2 linked regions of the Rhinolophus ferrumequinum genome follow. The protein of the gene in region 2 purifies or fractionates together with the protein of the main gene of each other region. This does not show direct contact. Links are inferred from orthologs where the notes say so. Each region holds a gene or a part of one and is shown on either strand. Other genes may lie near its edges.

Evidence for each region.
Region 1: the proteins of CPSF1 (region 2) and SYMPK fractionate together in Homo sapiens (co-fractionation; 5 studies listed by BioGRID and IntAct, with this or other methods). This does not show direct contact. The link is inferred for Rhinolophus ferrumequinum from reciprocal best matches to the Homo sapiens genes CPSF1 and SYMPK.

What each region holds. Positions count from the first base shown.
Region 1 is NC_046298.1:42,118,025-42,126,428, reverse strand, and holds the start of SYMPK (symplekin), read left to right. Parts: upstream 1-5,271; 5' UTR 5,272-5,385; intron 5,386-8,404. Other genes in the region: FOXA3 (hepatocyte nuclear factor 3-gamma), read right to left, coding at 4,249-4,317. UniProt on the Homo sapiens protein: Scaffold protein that functions as a component of a multimolecular complex involved in histone mRNA 3'-end processing. Specific component of the tight junction (TJ) plaque, but might not be an exclusively junctional component. May have a house-keeping rule.
Region 2 is NC_046297.1:73,119,189-73,126,585, reverse strand, and holds the start of CPSF1 (cleavage and polyadenylation specificity factor subunit 1), read left to right. Parts: upstream 1-4,285; 5' UTR 4,286-4,335; exon of another isoform or gene 4,336-4,413; 5' UTR 4,414-4,428; coding exon 4,429-4,572; intron 4,573-7,343; coding exon 7,344-7,371; intron 7,372-7,397. Other genes in the region: SLC39A4 (zinc transporter ZIP4), read left to right, coding at 1-36, 358-530, 685-840, 916-1,032, 1,225-1,279, 1,369-1,521, 1,655-1,842, 1,931-2,059. UniProt on the Homo sapiens protein: Component of the cleavage and polyadenylation specificity factor (CPSF) complex that plays a key role in pre-mRNA 3'-end formation, recognizing the AAUAAA signal sequence and interacting with poly(A) polymerase and other factors to bring about cleavage and poly(A) addition.

The sequences.
Region 1 (8,404 bases), on a different chromosome or scaffold from region 2:
TCAAAACTATTTTCATATAATGCGAAGATATTACTAGCCTTTTTCACTCTTTCTCTCATGAGTGTACAGTGGAGTTTTCTAGAGGCCACATGACATGTGACACTGCAACAGACTGAATGTAGAAGCAGCTATGAAAACCCAGTTGTCTTTTATGGAACCAGATCCAAAAAGGGATCTGCAAAAATGTAACACTGCCACTCCTCTGACTAAATGTTTTGAAATATAGTTATTTTAATAAAAACACATTATGTATCCTAACAAGTTATTGCTATTTAAAAACTAATTAATACATTTAAAAAATTTTCTCAGCTTTTACTTCTCACGTGGTAACTATTGAGAGACATAACCCACATCAGTGAAAACTTCTTGGGGTCCTCAATAATTTTTAACAGTGTAAAAAGGTCCTGAAACCCAAAAAACTGATAACTGCTGATTTATATCTAATCTACATGTGTACTCTCTCTCCATCTTTTAGGTTATAAAATTACAGTTTTTAATAGGTCAAAAATGTTTGACTATCAGAAATCACATTTCAACCTCATATCATCTATTTACTATCTATTATCAAATGTAAGATATCACTGTTTGTAAGCTGCAGTATTAAGAATCAGTAAGAGAAAAAAAATAATAAAAGAGAAAAAAAAGAGAAAAAAAATCAGTAAGAATGGAAAAACGTAGTGTCAATTATAATCTCTAGATACCATTGGCTATAAAACCCATTCCACTTTTGGAAATGTTCAAATGGTGAAAAAATATGCATGAATGAAATACGATAGACATTGCCGTCTCTCTAAATAACTTCTATATAGTCTTCCATCCATTCAACAAATATTTATTGGCCACCTACTCAGTGCCAGGCGCTGCTCCCAGCACTACACAGGGAAAGGTAGGTACCCTTTCATCTTTACAACCACACCATGTGGGAGGCCCTATTATGATGCCTGTTTTAGAACTGAGCAAGCTAAGGCCCAGAGAGGTTGTCAGGGTCACACAGCAAGAAAAGGGCAGAACTCGGTTTCTGAATTCAGGCAGTCTGGTTCCAGACCAGTGTTCTGGATCATGCTATAAAACAGCAGTGACCAAAACAGACTGAAATGCCTGCCCTCATGGAGCTGACAGTTCAGCAGGAAGTGAACAAGATAAGGAAAATACGAAGCACGGTGGATAGTGATTTCTCTTTCTGTGTGTATTTACTCCTTTCATCCACTGTCTTCCGTCCTCTCTCCTTCAATACTTCACCTGCTCCCTGTCCCTGCTGGGGTCTGCTGGCACTGCGGGTGCTGCTCCAGCTCTGGCTGGAGCCAACTTTCTTACGAGGCAGTGGGTCCTTTCTCATCCCCTGTCTGTGAGCATCTGCAGGTCCCAAGGTCCAGAGAGAAAATGGACACTCTGAGTCAGGGACAGGTGGCAACCAACCCAGCTCTGAGTTCTAGTGGAGAAACTCTCCCCTCCCTCTTTCATAGGTCTGTCCACGTAGCAATTTTCTCTCAGGTCTCTGAATCTCCCTGGTGGTTCTGTGTGTGTCTGTCCATCGCCTTCCTTGTCACCGTACCTCTATACCCCTTCCCTCCCCCTCCCCATGTTTATCTCCTCCTGCCCTGTCTTTCCCTTTCCCACTGTCTCTCCTCCCCACATTTTTTTCCTTTCTCTCACCCTCTGTCTCTCTCTACCCCACTCCCCTCCCATCTCCCCATTTCTCTTTCTCCCTCAGCACACCTTTGTATCCATCTGCTTCCTTGCCTCAGTATCACGCTCCTCAGAAATCTCACGTTGAAATTGGATTCCCAGCTACTCCCCTCCCCTATGCACTGGTCTCCCCCATGGTTGGCTGCTTCTGCCCCCTCCCCAGATTAAGGGAAGAGATGAAGGGAAAAGGTGATGGATTTAGGGGGATCTACAGAGAATTCCTAAATTCCTCTGCAACCCCCCTCCCATTTTTCCAACTCAGTCGGACTCTCTTGTATCACAGAGGAAGACAGACTGGGACCCCAGGGCCCTCCTTTTCTGGCTACCTACCCACCCACCCGGAAGTCCTCCTTGAGGTCTGATCTCTAGAACTCCAGCTGCCCTAATCCACCCTAGGCTTTCCCACGCCCCGAGGCTGGGATGAACCCCCAGTGTCCGGGTCTGAGCCGGATTTCCCTGCCAGGGCGGGGCTGAGATTGGGGGGAAAGCCCTCAGGGGACCTGCACCCCCACCCCAGGAGGCTGAAATTTCTCGCCTTTCATTTCCTTATTGTCTCTGGAGGAGGGTGTGACGACGGATCACAGGGAGGCAATGTGAAGCCAGAAGCCTAGCTTCTAGCCCCAGTCTCTACCCAGGACCTAAAGAAGCCCCCAACACTCCAGGCGGCTTCAGGGTTTCCCTCTCTGAAGTGGGGGAGCAGTTGGACCAGCTGATCTGTGGGAACTGGGGGCCAACAGGGCCACCCCAGGGTGATACCTTTCAATTTCCTTCCACACGGGGAGCCAGCCTGGGGGTGTTAATATCACCCCAGCAGGAAGGCGTGGAAGGCCAGAAGCACTTTGGGGGACCTCACAGTTCTCAGTAGCTGAGTAAGTGTGAATGTTTCTCTGTACCTTGTTCTGACCCAAGGGAAGGAGGTGGCTCAGATGATGGAAAGGCTGGGGAGACCCTCAGACAGTATTTCCATCTCCGGCCCCCCATGTCAACTCTTCCAAAATATGCCCCAAAATGCTGATCATCTCTAGACTGTCTCTCAATTTCTGACACAATGTGTCCCCTAAACTTCAGAGTGTGCCCCACATAAGGATTCCTCCATCCTAGATCTCCACATTTACTGATAAGGTGTGTCCCCCAAAACACTGATTTGTAGTTGGTTCCCTTAAATCATATTCCCAGACTCTGAACTGTCTGGAGGTTCAGCTGGGATGCCCCAATACCTGGGAGCCTTCACCTCCAACCTGGTCTCTGCCTTCTGACACCTCCAGCTGCCGATCTCCACCTCTCAACACTTCCAATCCCCCCCTCCCTGGTCGGCCTGCCCCACCCCACGTGCAGCTCACACCTTCACAGCCCCAGGACTGGCCCCTCCCAGGCACCATGCCAAGCCCCGCAGGCCCGGGGATCCGAGAGACCCACATAACAGCATCAAACCCCAGACCCAGGACTCAGGCACCTGGGAGCCCCTGTAACCCTCAGATCTCAGCCTCCTTGTAAAACTCAGACATTCAAGTTCCCCTGCCTCAAGTCCACAGTCCCCTTCCAGGTTAGGAATTTAAGTGTCCAGATCCCCCCTCCACTTCACACTGTTGAGTATAGAGACAGTGAGCTAAGGGGGAGTCCTTGCAGCAAGAGGAATGGGAGTTAGACCAGGGGAAGGACTTTCTGCCTGCTGGGGTGAGGGAAGTAAGATATACCCTGCCCCCTACTCCAGGGTGGTCTAGTCAGAGATGGGGCTAGTGAGGACATTAGCAATTACTGGAGATTACTGGAAGGAGGGTAGGGAGGTGTGAAATCTGAAACCTTCTAGCCTCCAACAGGAGAATCCCTGCTGAGGGTCTCTAACAATTAAAGCAGTGAAGTTCAGTTGGAAGGGGTGAGGGTCAGGAGTAGGGGTGGGGGTGGGGAATGGAAATCGACCCCTCCGCTGCTCTCCCGCTTCCAACTCCGATCTCATCTGGGCCCCCATCTATCTGAACCCCAACTCTAAACCACCTGTTATTCCAGACTACCAAAACTAACCTCCATCTCTTATCCTTGAGCACTAACCCTTATTTCTGACCTCATCTTAGATCGCACCCTGATCCTTATCCCTGAACCCCAATGTCCTAACCCTGAGCTCTCACCTCAGATTTCCCTTAATGGTGACCTCCCTCTGCCATCTCTTAGTTCCTGTCTTTCCCCCCAAATTTGAAGCCATTTCCTAATCCCCCAGCTCTGTCTCCTATTCTGGGAGGTCTGATTCCTAGCTTTGGTTTGTTCATTTTAATCCCTTGGATTTGGGGTCACCAACACCCAGCTCTCACGTTTAAGCTATGACCTGATCCTTACTTAAGTTTTCCTGACTCCCATTTATCGCTCACTCCGACTAGCCTGGGGTAACCGCACTCCCATGCCTGGCCCCGTCCCTGAATCCCACACCTGGTCTCCGTGTCTCTAGTTCCTTTACTCCTCAACTCTAGTTGGAGCCCCCATTCGAGCCCATACCCCAATCCTTGCCCTCATTTAAGTCCGCACCCTGATTCCTACCCCACACTTCCCGCTCCGCCATCCCCGAGGACACACCTCGCCGGCCTCCGGGTAGTAGCTCCACTCCGCCAGGTCATGGGCCTCCATCTTCACGGAGCCCAGCATCCCCCGGGCCTGCGCCCCCACCTGCCCCTGCTCCGGCCCGGGGGGAACCGAGCGCTAAGGATCTCTCAGCCGGCACGGCCCGAGTTCCAACCGGCGCCCGCCCGTCCGACTGACTGCCCAGGGTCCCAGCCGTCCCAGGCGCCGCGGGAGGCGTCCACGCTTTATAGTCGGGACACCCCCCCCCCGCCCTCGCCCGCCCCGGGCTCCCCTCCCGCCTCTCCCTGGGCGGTGCGCTCGGACTGGGGCGCCCCCTGCGGGATTGCGAGGAGATAGACCTCAGGCGCCGGGAGCCGCAGCCCGGGGACGTAAGGGCTGGAGATGGCTGAAGAGTGAGGGAGCTACTGCTGGGAGACACTGCTGATACTAAGGTCCCCGACATCAGAACTCTGGGGCCCTCCACCCCAGGGGCCCCAGACATCATCTTGACAGTAGAGGGCGAATAGCTAGAACCCAGCACGACCGCCGCGGAAGAAAGGGGCCTCAGAGCGCAGTGAACTCCTTGGATCCAGTCTGCCTCTATAAGGACCGGTAGGAGAGCCTCGAAACCACAGTCCCATTAGGTGGACTGGAATACTGAAGCTTCCGACAGCTATTAATAGAAATGCTCCGAACTGTCCAAAAGGTCAGGACCAAAGGTGGAGGAAATTGGGGCTTCTGTTCAGACTCCACTAGGGCAACAGACCACCTCCAAGACCTAGGAGCTTCGCCGCCCGTACTCTCCATTCTCGCTAATACCAGCCGTCCAGGAACTCAACCACCGTGAACTCCGTTTCCCAGAAGTCTCTGTCTCCCTTCCTGTCCCGAGCCTCTGCCAAGGGACTATATTTCCCAGAAGGCACGGCGTTCGAACGCCAGAAATGAAGAGCCACCGGGAGTATTCCGGAAGGCCGCTCGCTGGGCTAGAAATAGGGGTGGGGTCTGCCTACTGCGTGGACTCCATTTCCCGGCGACCCCGTGTGTGCGGCGCGTGCGCAGTGTCACGGCGGCGAGCGGAAGATGGCGGCGGCGGCGGCGTCTGGGAAGAGGCGCTGCTGAGGGGGCGCGAGGGGGACGGAAGCCGGAGCCGCGGTGAGCTGGGGTGGCGTGGGGGCCCGGGGACCAAGGGAGGAAGGACCCTGAAGCGGCAGGAGCGCTGGCAGAGGGATGGGGGCAGAGGAGAAGGGAGCAGTGACGTTTGGTACTCCAGTTTCTTCCCTTGCTCAGGACTCTCCCGTGGGTCCCTAGTGCCCTTAGGGCAAAGTTCCAACGTGGCCCCCAAGGCGCGTCCGTCCCGCGGCCTTGGCTCTGCCTCTGCTCATTCCTCACTTCGAATAGTTGCATTGGTCTTTCGGTTCCTCAAACTCGCCATGCGCCTTCAGGCCTCAGGATTTTTGCACATACTGTCCCCTCTGCCCGCAACATCCTTTTACCCATTCTGCCAGGCTAACTCCCATTCATCTTTCGGGTCTCTGCACCAACGTCACTTCCTCTGCGAAGCCCTCCTTTCCTGCCCTCCATCCCGAAATCCTCCTGTTAAACGCTCTCAGAGGTCCCTGTACCTTCCCTTCATGTCATGTGCCCTCTGATTTGTTATTGTACCTTTGTTTGTTTGACTATTTGATTATGTCTGTCACTGTGAGCTCCACGGAGGCAGGGACTGGGTGTATGTTGTCACTGCTGTGCTCCCAGCACAACGCCGTCACACTGAAGACACCCAGTTAATATTTGGTGAATGAATGAAAGATACTCCTGGGGCCACTGTGTAGATGAGGGGAGTCCTCACGCTCCCAGGTGGGAGGGAGGCAGTGGTACTCCATAAGGAGGACACCGAAAGGAAGGGGAAACAATGACTGTTGGTAATAGCAAAAGATTGCAAGCACCCCACATATTTTCCCCCTTCTTCCACCCCCACCCGGTTTCAAGCCGTTGTTTCTCAGTCTAGTTGTGTAGGACACAGCTCCCTGGCCCATGCTGGTGTTATGAGTCTTGCGCTCCCCCCAGCTGAGGCAGTTGGTCTCCAGTCGTCGGTCGCCTGCTCATGGCAGCTCTCGCCAGCTGCTGGCCACTCACGATGGTCCCCGGCCACTGGCTGCTCATGGCAGCACATGGTAGCCCAGCTCCAGGGAGAGCCGGTGCTCACAGTCTTAGCTGTAAAGGGCGCAGCTCACTGGCCCATGTGGGAATCGAACCGGCGACCTCGGCGTTAGGAGCACGGGTGCTCCAACCACCTGAGCCACTGGGCCGGACCCCAAACATTCTTTAGTAGAAAGACTGGCAGAAAAAAACTGATAACATCCACATGACAAAATACTATGCAACTGTAAAAAGGAACAAGGAAAATCTCTTTACACTGATATGGAGAATGGGCTCCAGCATACATTAAGTGAAAACAGATGAAAAGGAAGATGGTGTTTAATATATGCTCTTTTTATAAAAGAAAGGGAAACATGTATATACCTTACAAAGAAAATAAAAGTAGAGGGGGCAGTCAGTTAGCTCGGTTGGTTAGAGCGCAGTGCTCTTAACAACAAGTTTGCTGGTTCGATACCCACACGTATTACCATCATGAAAAAAAGGTTCACATGAAAAGCTTCATTATGTTCTGATGGGGGACAGCAGTGTGCTGGTTGTTGGGTGGCCATGAGTTGCATGAACAGATGTGGGGTCTATTAATAGAAGACCTGGTCTTATTTTCGGGGAAACACAGTAGGTAGTGTATAGATGATAATAAATGCCATGGAGAAAAATGAAACAACACAGATGGGGAGAGAAAGGAAATTGAGATTTGAAATAGGGTGGTCAAAGAAGACCTCACTGCCAAGGTAGGTGAGCTGAGACCTGAAGGAAATGTGGAGGGAGAGAGTTGTGCCAATATCTGGGAAGAGGAGTATTCCAGGCAGAAGGAAGAGAACCCCAAAGGTTTTGAGGAAGGGGCACGCTTGGCATATTCAGGGGACAAGGAGGCCAGAGTAGCTGGAGCAGAGAGAGCAGAGAGGAGCTGTGGGCAGAGATAGAAGGGACCAAATCATGTAAGGTCTTCTAGGCATTGGTGAGGACATTGGCTTTGACGCCAAGCAAGATGTGGGGGTGACAGGCAGCAGGGATACTAGGAAAGAGGATGCTGGATAGTCATTCGTCCTGCAGACACCCTCAAATTTTTGTTAACAGTTTATGTAGTATCATTCCGATCTTTTCTCATGTCTATAAAAATGCAGCTGTACTTATCTCATGTTTACTGTGTGTCCTAACTCAAGGTAGTCCTTCCTGCGAGGCAAGCACTGTGACCACCTCTGTCTCACAGAAGACAAAACTGACTCAGGTCGCTCTGTGTAGACATACGCAAACTTAACAAAAATGGATTGAATTGCACATGTTCTGTGATGTATTATTATAGCAGGCTGTGGGGGACATATTTTTACGATGATATTGCACTGAGAGCCACTCATTTCTTTTTTTGCCGTTTCCTTCCTCTTCTGCTTTTTGGTTTATCCTTTCAGTTTCTTTTCTTCTTCCTTTTTTTAAACATATACACATTTCCCTTTCTTTTGTAAAAAGGGAGCATACAGTAAACATTGTCTTCTACTTTGTTTGTTTTCACTGAATATATGCTGGAGCCCACCGATCATAAGTGTATAGAGATTTTCCTCATTCCTCCTTTTTCCCTCCCTCATTCCTTTTCGCAGCTGCATAGTGTTTTATGGTGTAGCTCTATCATACTTTTTCAGCCAGTCTTCCTCTTTGAGAACCCTTTGGGTGCTAATAGTCTTTTGCTCCTTAGTCCTGTGATTGAGATCCTTCTTATTTCATAGTTGTGCCACTGTGACTTTGGGACAGAGCCCAAAAGTTTTCCCTCCCCACCCCACCCCTTTTTGAAAACAACTCCATAGCATTTCAGAAAATGGCTGAAACATAATTTATTCAACTGAGCCTTTTCTGATGTATTGAGTACTTACTGTGAGCAGGACTCTGTGACTGGTGTGTTTTAGAAAGCTTGCTCTGGTGTCCAGTCCAGAGTACAGCCCAGATGAAGAGTCAGGAAGGCACTGCGGCCAGTGCCTTAGCTGCTGTGTGTTCATTTGTTCCGTCATTCAGCACATGTTTGTGGTCA
Region 2 (7,397 bases):
ATCATCCTGCCCAAGACCAGCTCAGCCAAGCGGAGAGTGAGTGCCCGCCTCCCCAGCCTGCCTGCCTGTGCCAGGGGTGCTGGGGCCGACACAGAGAGCCAGTGGATGCTGGGCTAGGGGAGAGGTGGGAAGAGCTGGGTCTGGGAGTGGTGAGAGAAGGGGGCACTGGAGTAGAAGGACCACAGGGAAGTGTGGGGGCCTGGGAGGAGGACCCAGCTTTGAGGCCCAGGGGTAGCGTGAGCAGAGGCCTGGCCCACACCTGGTGAGTTCTGGCTCATTCCTGGACCCAGTAGATGCCCTCCCTGGGAAGGCTGAGAGGGAGGCCTTCACCTGAGCCCTTGTTGCCCCACCACGCAGAGTACCTGTACAGCTCGCTGGCCACGCTGCTCATCTGCCTCTGCTCGGTTTGCGGCCTGCTACTTCTCATCTGCACTGCCTGCAGCACTGCTGCCCGTTACATCATCCAGGCCTTCCTGGGCATGGCCATGGGCGCGCTCACCGGAGACGCCCTCCTGCACTTGATGCCCAAGGTGGGCCCCAGCCCCTAGGTCTTCCCTGCCCCACCCCCCAAGGCGCTCCATTGCCCCGCCCTCCTGTGGCCCTTCCGCCAGCCCTGACCCCTCCCTTTCATCTGTGGCGGGGAGAACCTGGGGCACCCAGCCCAGCGCCCCCTGCCCCTCCAAGGTTCTAGGGCTGCACCAGCACGGGGGACACAGCGAGCATGGAATGAACTGCCACAGCCCTCAGCACGTCTGGCGCCTGGTGGTCGTGCTCGGCGGCCTGTATGCCTTCTTCCTGTTCGAGAAACTTGTCGATCTCTTGCTGCCCCTGGACCCAGAGGTCAGGCACATGAGGGCTGGACAGGGTGGGTGGACGCGGAGGAGGCATGGAGGGCCCTGAGCCGCTGTCCCGCAGGACCCAAAGGACGAGCCTCGCGGCCACGGTGGCCACAGCCATGGCGTGTCCCTACAGTTAGCACCCAGGGAACTCCGGCCGCCCAAGCAGCCCCACGAAGGCTCCCGCGCAGACCTGGTGAGCTGCCCCGCTGGGACCTCCCGTCCCACACGGAGCCCCCTCCACATGGACCCTTTCCAGAGCCTACACTTCCAGCCCCCACCCCAGCGCTTCCGTCCTGCTGGCCTCTGAGGCTGATCTGGGACCCCAGCACCTCCCTCCTCCCCCCCTCCCCCGCCCCGGGGGTTCATCCACCGGAAACCCCTGCAGGTGGCGGAGGAGAGCCCTGAGCTGCTGAGCCCGGAGCCCCGGAGACAGAGCCCTGGTGAGCCCTGGGGGAGCCCCGGAAAGGTTGGGGGCCAGGGGTTCGGCAGCGGCCGTACTGAGGCCGACCCATGCCCGCTGCGCCCGCAGAGCTGAGGCTGCTGCCCTACATGATCACGCTGGGCGACGGCCTGCACAACTTTGCCGACGGGCTGGCGGTGGGCGCCGCCTTCGCGTCCTCCTGGAAGACGGGGCTAGCCACCTCGCTGGCCGTGTTCTGCCACGAGGTGCCCCACGAGCTGGGTGAGCTGCGCGGGGCTGGCCTACTGGGCGGGACCCGCCGGGGATGTGGCGAGCAGAGCGGGGCGGGGCCTGGGCAAGGGGCGGGGGCTGTGGGGGCGGGGCTCTCGGCCTGACACCGTTCCTCCCGCCTCAGGGGACTTCGCCGCCTTGCTGCACGCCGGACTGTCGGTGCCCCGGGCGCTGCTGCTGAACTTGGTGTCGGCGCTCACGGCCTTTGCGGGCCTCTACGTAGCGCTCGCGCTCGGCGTCGGCGAGGAGAGCGAGTCCTGGATCCTGGCGGTCGCCATCGGCCTCTTCCTCTACGTGGCGCTCTGTGACATGGTCAGGCTGGAGGGCGCGGAGGGGGCTGCCGGGGTGGGAAGCTGAGCAAGGACGCTGAGCTCGCCACTGACACAGCTCACCTCCTCAGCTCCCCGCCATGCTCAAGGTGCGAGACCCCCGGCCCTGGCTCCTTTTCCTGGTGCAAAACGTGGGCCTACTGGGCGGCTGGGTCGTCCTGCTGCTGCTGTCGCTGTATGAGGACAACATCACCCTCTGACGGCACCTCCGCCCCACTCTCGGGACCTGACTCCCTCCTGGCCCTGCGCTGTCTCAGCCCTTTGGACCTGAACCTACAGCTGAGTACCTGGAGAGCCCCCAGGCCTCTGAGAGTCTCCCCGCCCCCCATACCCCAGCAACGCAACTTCAATAAAGACATTCCTACCCTTGGAGCCCAGCCTGCTGTTCCTACTGGGAGGGAAGGGTCTCCCACCAAAGAGGAGGAGGAGTGAGGCAGTGCCTGGAGCCCTGACAAGGAGCCAACAGAGCTGCGGTGCTTGGGCTTCCAGGCAGCCAACCCCCGTCTGGCCTATCCTCCAGCCCCTCACCCTCCCACCCAGGCGATTCCACTAACAGCCTCCTTTCACCTCAGTGGGGAAGAGGATCCGCCAGGCGAGCCAACCTCTGCCATCCCACCACCAGCCCTGCCACCTCCCAGCCCCCTTTGCCCACCAGCTGCACCCTACCCTCGGCTGCCCTCCCCAAGACTGTGCTGCAGGGTCTCTGGCTCTCTCTGCACTGACCACCACTCTACCAGACGAGTTCTCATTCATTTGTTAGGGCACTCGCCATTTGCCAGGCTAGTCTCATGGTGCTGTGGGCACTGACTTGTTCAGTTGTCACCGATGCCCTGTGATGTGGGCACCGTGAGTGTCCATCTGACATAGATGCTGATGTTATTTAGTGTTTGCCTGGCTGCCTTCTCTAGCACATACTCATGGTTCTGGCAACAGGGACTTCTTAGGACTTTTGAAGGGGGTTGATGTGGCGCAGGGATCCCACACCTGCCTGGGCATCCCAGTGGTGCCTTCGTGTGTTGCTCCACAGTTCAGACGCGGAGCCTTATTGCTGATGTGAGCAAGTGGGCCAATTTGGGTGAAACACATTTATATGCTATTTTCTTGGGTGTGACCATACTTTCTCATTTTTTTTTTCACTCTTCTTCCACCTCCCCTCTCCTCACTCCGGTTCACTCGGGTTCTAGCCGTTGTTTCTCAGTCTAGTTGTATAGGACACAGCTCCCTGGCCCATGCTGGTATTACGAGCCTTGAGCTCCCCCTGGCTGAGGCAGTTGGTCGCCAGTCGTTGGTCGGCTGCTCACAGAAGCTCACGGCAGCTCTCGCACCGGCAGCTCTCGCACCGGCTGCCAGCTGCTCACAATGGCTTCCAGCCACTCCTGGTAGCACACAGTAGCCCACAGCAGCACACAGCAGCCCATGGCAACCGAAGATGGCTGTCGGCCACTCACGATGGCCACCGGCCGCTCATGGCAGCACACAGCAGCTCACCGCAACCTCCGGTTGCTCAACCTCCAGCAGCCCAGCTCCACAGAGAGCTGTTCACAATCGTAGCTGTAGAGGATGCAACTCAACTGGCGCATGTGGGAATTGAACCCGCGACCTCGGCCTTAGGTCTTAGGAGCGCAGTGCTCTAACCACTTGAGGCACCAGGCCAGTCCTCGTTTTCTTATGATTCCTTTTCTAAGGCCCAGGCCTGTCTCAGTGTGTTGGGCTCGTCTCTGCCAAGGGAGGTGAGGTCCTGGCTCCGGGAACCTTGAGGTGGGCAACTGTGCCAGGCCCGAGGAGGGCGCAAGATCTAGATAAAAATCGCTGCCCTGGGGGGAGGGGCTCACGTGGTAGAGGGGAGGACTGGAAGACACCTGGCCACTGAAGCGAGGAGGGTTGTGCGCCTGCAGTGCCTGTATTTTGGTGGTGGTAGGGGTGGTGTCGCTCTGCGGAGAGAACGCTGAGCAGTGACAGGAGGCAGCATCTGTCCCTGAAGCTTTCACAGCCCGGGACTGGTCCAGCCTCCTCCACACTGGCGGCACTTGCCCGGCGTCCTTCCCTCCCAGCCCCACACTTGGAGGCTCAGGCTCTCCTGGGTCACCCGAACCTCAGCTCCTGGCACAGCGCCTCTTACAAGGGGGCTTGGTGGAGGAGACTCGTCTCTTCTTACGGGGAGATTCTCCACGTGGACCCCATCCGGGGTCAGGCAGAGGACCCAGAGGTCTCTGAGCCGCCGGACGCCCGCCGTACTTCCAGCCTAGCCCCTCGTTCCCCAAGCTGTGGGGCCCAGGATCTCGGGGCTCTGCACGCGGAGACGCGAAACCGCTCGGCTACCCGCAGCCGCCGAGGGCAGCTATCGCCCCCCGCAGCTGCTTCGCCATGGCGGCACTGCGCAGGCGCAGGAACCGGAACCTCCGTGCTCAGCTTCCGGGCCCGGCCGGAGCGTGTTCATCGACGTCCCGGTCCCCCGCGAGCAGGTTCCAACTGCCAGGTGGGCGGCGGGCGGCGGGCTGAGGGGATTCGGGCGTGGGAGGCCCCACTCATCCTGTCGCCTTCCGGCCCCGTGCAGCCCGGGCTCGGCGCCATGTACGCCGTGTACAAGCAGGCGCACCCGCCCACCGGCCTGGAGTTCTCCATGTACTGCAACTTCTTCAACAACAGCGAGCGCAACCTCGTGGCGGCCGGGACCTCGCAGCTCTACGTGTACCGCCTGAACCGCGACGCCGAGGTAGGTCCGGGCCGCGCCGGCCTCCGGGCCCCGCCCGCCTCCTGACAGCTCGGTGAGGTGGGCGCCCAGTGGCAGACGGAGAAGCGCGACCGGACACGACCAGTGCTTGTCTCCAGAACCTGTTCTCGCCGCTGCTACATGTTTCCGCCTCCAGTGCGCTCCTGTGGGCATGGAGCCCTGCCCTCGTGCATCTTATTTGCTCTTTGTTTTTCAGCGGTTAAATGATATGAACACCTGCTATGTGTTAGGTAGTAGGAATACGCTGGAGAACAAAACCTGCAGAAAGTTGGGGCAGGGGGCCTTCCCTAAGTACACAGAGGAGGTAATGAAGGAGGCAGTGTGTCCCCAGCTGGCTGACCAGGAGAGCCTCCTGGAGGCCGAGTAGGAGTTTGTCAGGGGAAGAACATTCCTGCCAGAGGGAACACTGGCAGCAGTTTTAGTAAAGTGTGATGAACTCATCAGTAGAGGAAAGAGGATGCTTAGGTTGCTGGAGGCATGAGAGTTAGTCCAGGAAGGCTTCTTGCAAGAGGCAGCTTCTTATCTGTTCATGAAGGGGGAGAAAGACTTAGCCAGGCTCAGGATGAGGAGTGAAGAGTGCTCCAGGCATTAGGAAAAGCCTGTGCACAGGCCAGAAGCAGCTGAGGGTGGGGAGGGCCATGCAAAGTTGGTCTGGGGTGTAGAGTGGAAGAGGAGAGTTAGTCAAGTGAACACGGACAGCTCTTGGAAGGAGATTTGTGCACAGGGAAGAAATGTAGCAGTAACTGGCTGGAGAAGGTTTTGTTTTAAGATGAGCAATACAGTAGCACATTTGTGCACTGAAGGCATTGCGCCCCTGAAGTGGGGCTTGCTGTCCGAAGCTCACTGAGATCTAAGGACGCTTTCTACATCTTTACAAGTTGTAAAAAATTCCAAAGGAGCGTCCTCAACAGACCAGATTGAGTGAAAACCCTGTCAGATATTTGCTCCTTAGTCCTTTCCAGGAAAGTTTGCCAACTCTTGCACGAGAAGGTAAAGCGTGAGGCAGCAAGAGATGGAGAGAGAGCTGGAGGCCAGTCGTTGTGTGGGTGAGAGCATTCAGGACCAGTCTAGTCATCACTGCAGAACAGACTGCCCTGAGGTTTCAAACAGCCTGTTCCTGTGTTTGCACAAGTGTGGGTGGGTTGGGAGTTTGAGCAGGGCACAGCCCAGACCGTGGGGGACACCTGGCCTCTGCTCTGTGAGGTCTGGGAAGAGAACGGAGAAGCTGTGTAGGAGATAGGCAAGTACATGGCCCGGGGCAGGTGTAGCGTGACAGCTAGCAGTGAGAAAGGCCCCTGCGACCTTTACGAGGAAAAAATATATAGCACTTTTTTAAACTTTTAATAAGAGTCCCAAGTTAATAGAAAATACTAGGGGTGCCAAAAAAATGTGTACACATGACTTGTATTCATCTTTTGTTATCGATACATATTGAGTATTATAATTTTAATAATAGTTTTTTTCTTTCTTAAAACGTATATACATTTTTTTTGGCACTCTCTGTATATCATGGTTATACGGGAAGTCTCATTATTGCAGAGATGTCGGCCATTCCCAAATTAATCCATACGTTCAGTGTTCTTTGTCTCAAAGTTACAATAAAGTTTCTCACTAGATTTAGTCATTTGATTCTCAAATTTACATGGAAGAGCCAAAATTTAAGACTATCGAAGACAGTTTTAAAGATGAACAAGGTGGTATACTTGCCCAACAGGGTTATCAAGAGGTGTGTGTGTGTGTGTGTGTGTGTGTGTGTGTTTTCTGTCTGTGTATGTGTGTGTGTGTGTGTGTGTGAGCGTGCACATGCGCACATGCTTTAAAGCTGCATAATTAGCTACATGGAAGACCAATTTAAAATAACGTTTTACTTTTGAACTGTCCTTCTTGTCATGAAATATTCTTTTTATCTCTAGCATATTTTGCCTTTAAGATCCACATTGTCCAATAGTAACGTGGCTACCCCAGCTTTTTTTTGTTGCATGGAATAACTTTAAAATCTGTGTCCTTATATTTAAAGTGACTCAGTAGCAAACAGTGGGGTGTTGTTTGTTTTTTTGGTAGCGTTTGTCTTCTCATTGGATTGTTTGTCTACATGTGATGTGATTTTCTACGCAGTCGGGTCTGAATCACCATCTCACTCTGTGTCTTTCTGTTATTCCTTTATTCTTCCTTTTTCCTTCTTTCTACTTTGTCTTGGATTAATCAGGTATTTTTATTTCATTTTATCTTCTCTGTAGGTTTCTCTTTAGGCATTTTGTGTCATTTTCTAATGAGTTACATTAGCAATTACAGCAGGCCTCTGATTTATGATAGTCTGGTTCAAATGAGTACTTTTGTTCCAAATGACATGAATCCTTGTAAGGCTCTAGCCCTGTGTACCCCCTTATCCTTTGTTTTGTGGTCACATGTTTCACTTCTGTGGGACAGAGCCAGGCAGGTTTGGGGTGCACAGAGCAGCTGTCCAGCCATCCTCTCACCCTGAGTGCTCCCCGTGTTAGGGTGGGCTCCTCAGGAGAATCCTGTGGCCTGGTTGGGGTCCCCGTGTGAGTGTGACTTTGTCCACATTGGGCTGGGGTGTGCATGGCTGTCTCCAGGAGTGCCTGGTCACGTGCTCCCCACGGCAGTGAGGGTTCAGTCAGGGCTGCTGGTGGCAGAGCCAGCCCTGGGTGGTCTTTCCCCATTGTCCCTCCATGAGGTGGAGCCGCCAACAGCAGCAGTGTGGCCCTTCACTGTCTTTCCTCTTCCTCCTCCAGGCTCCAACCAAGAATGACAGGAGCACAGGTGAGCACATGGTGGCCACCCTGGCC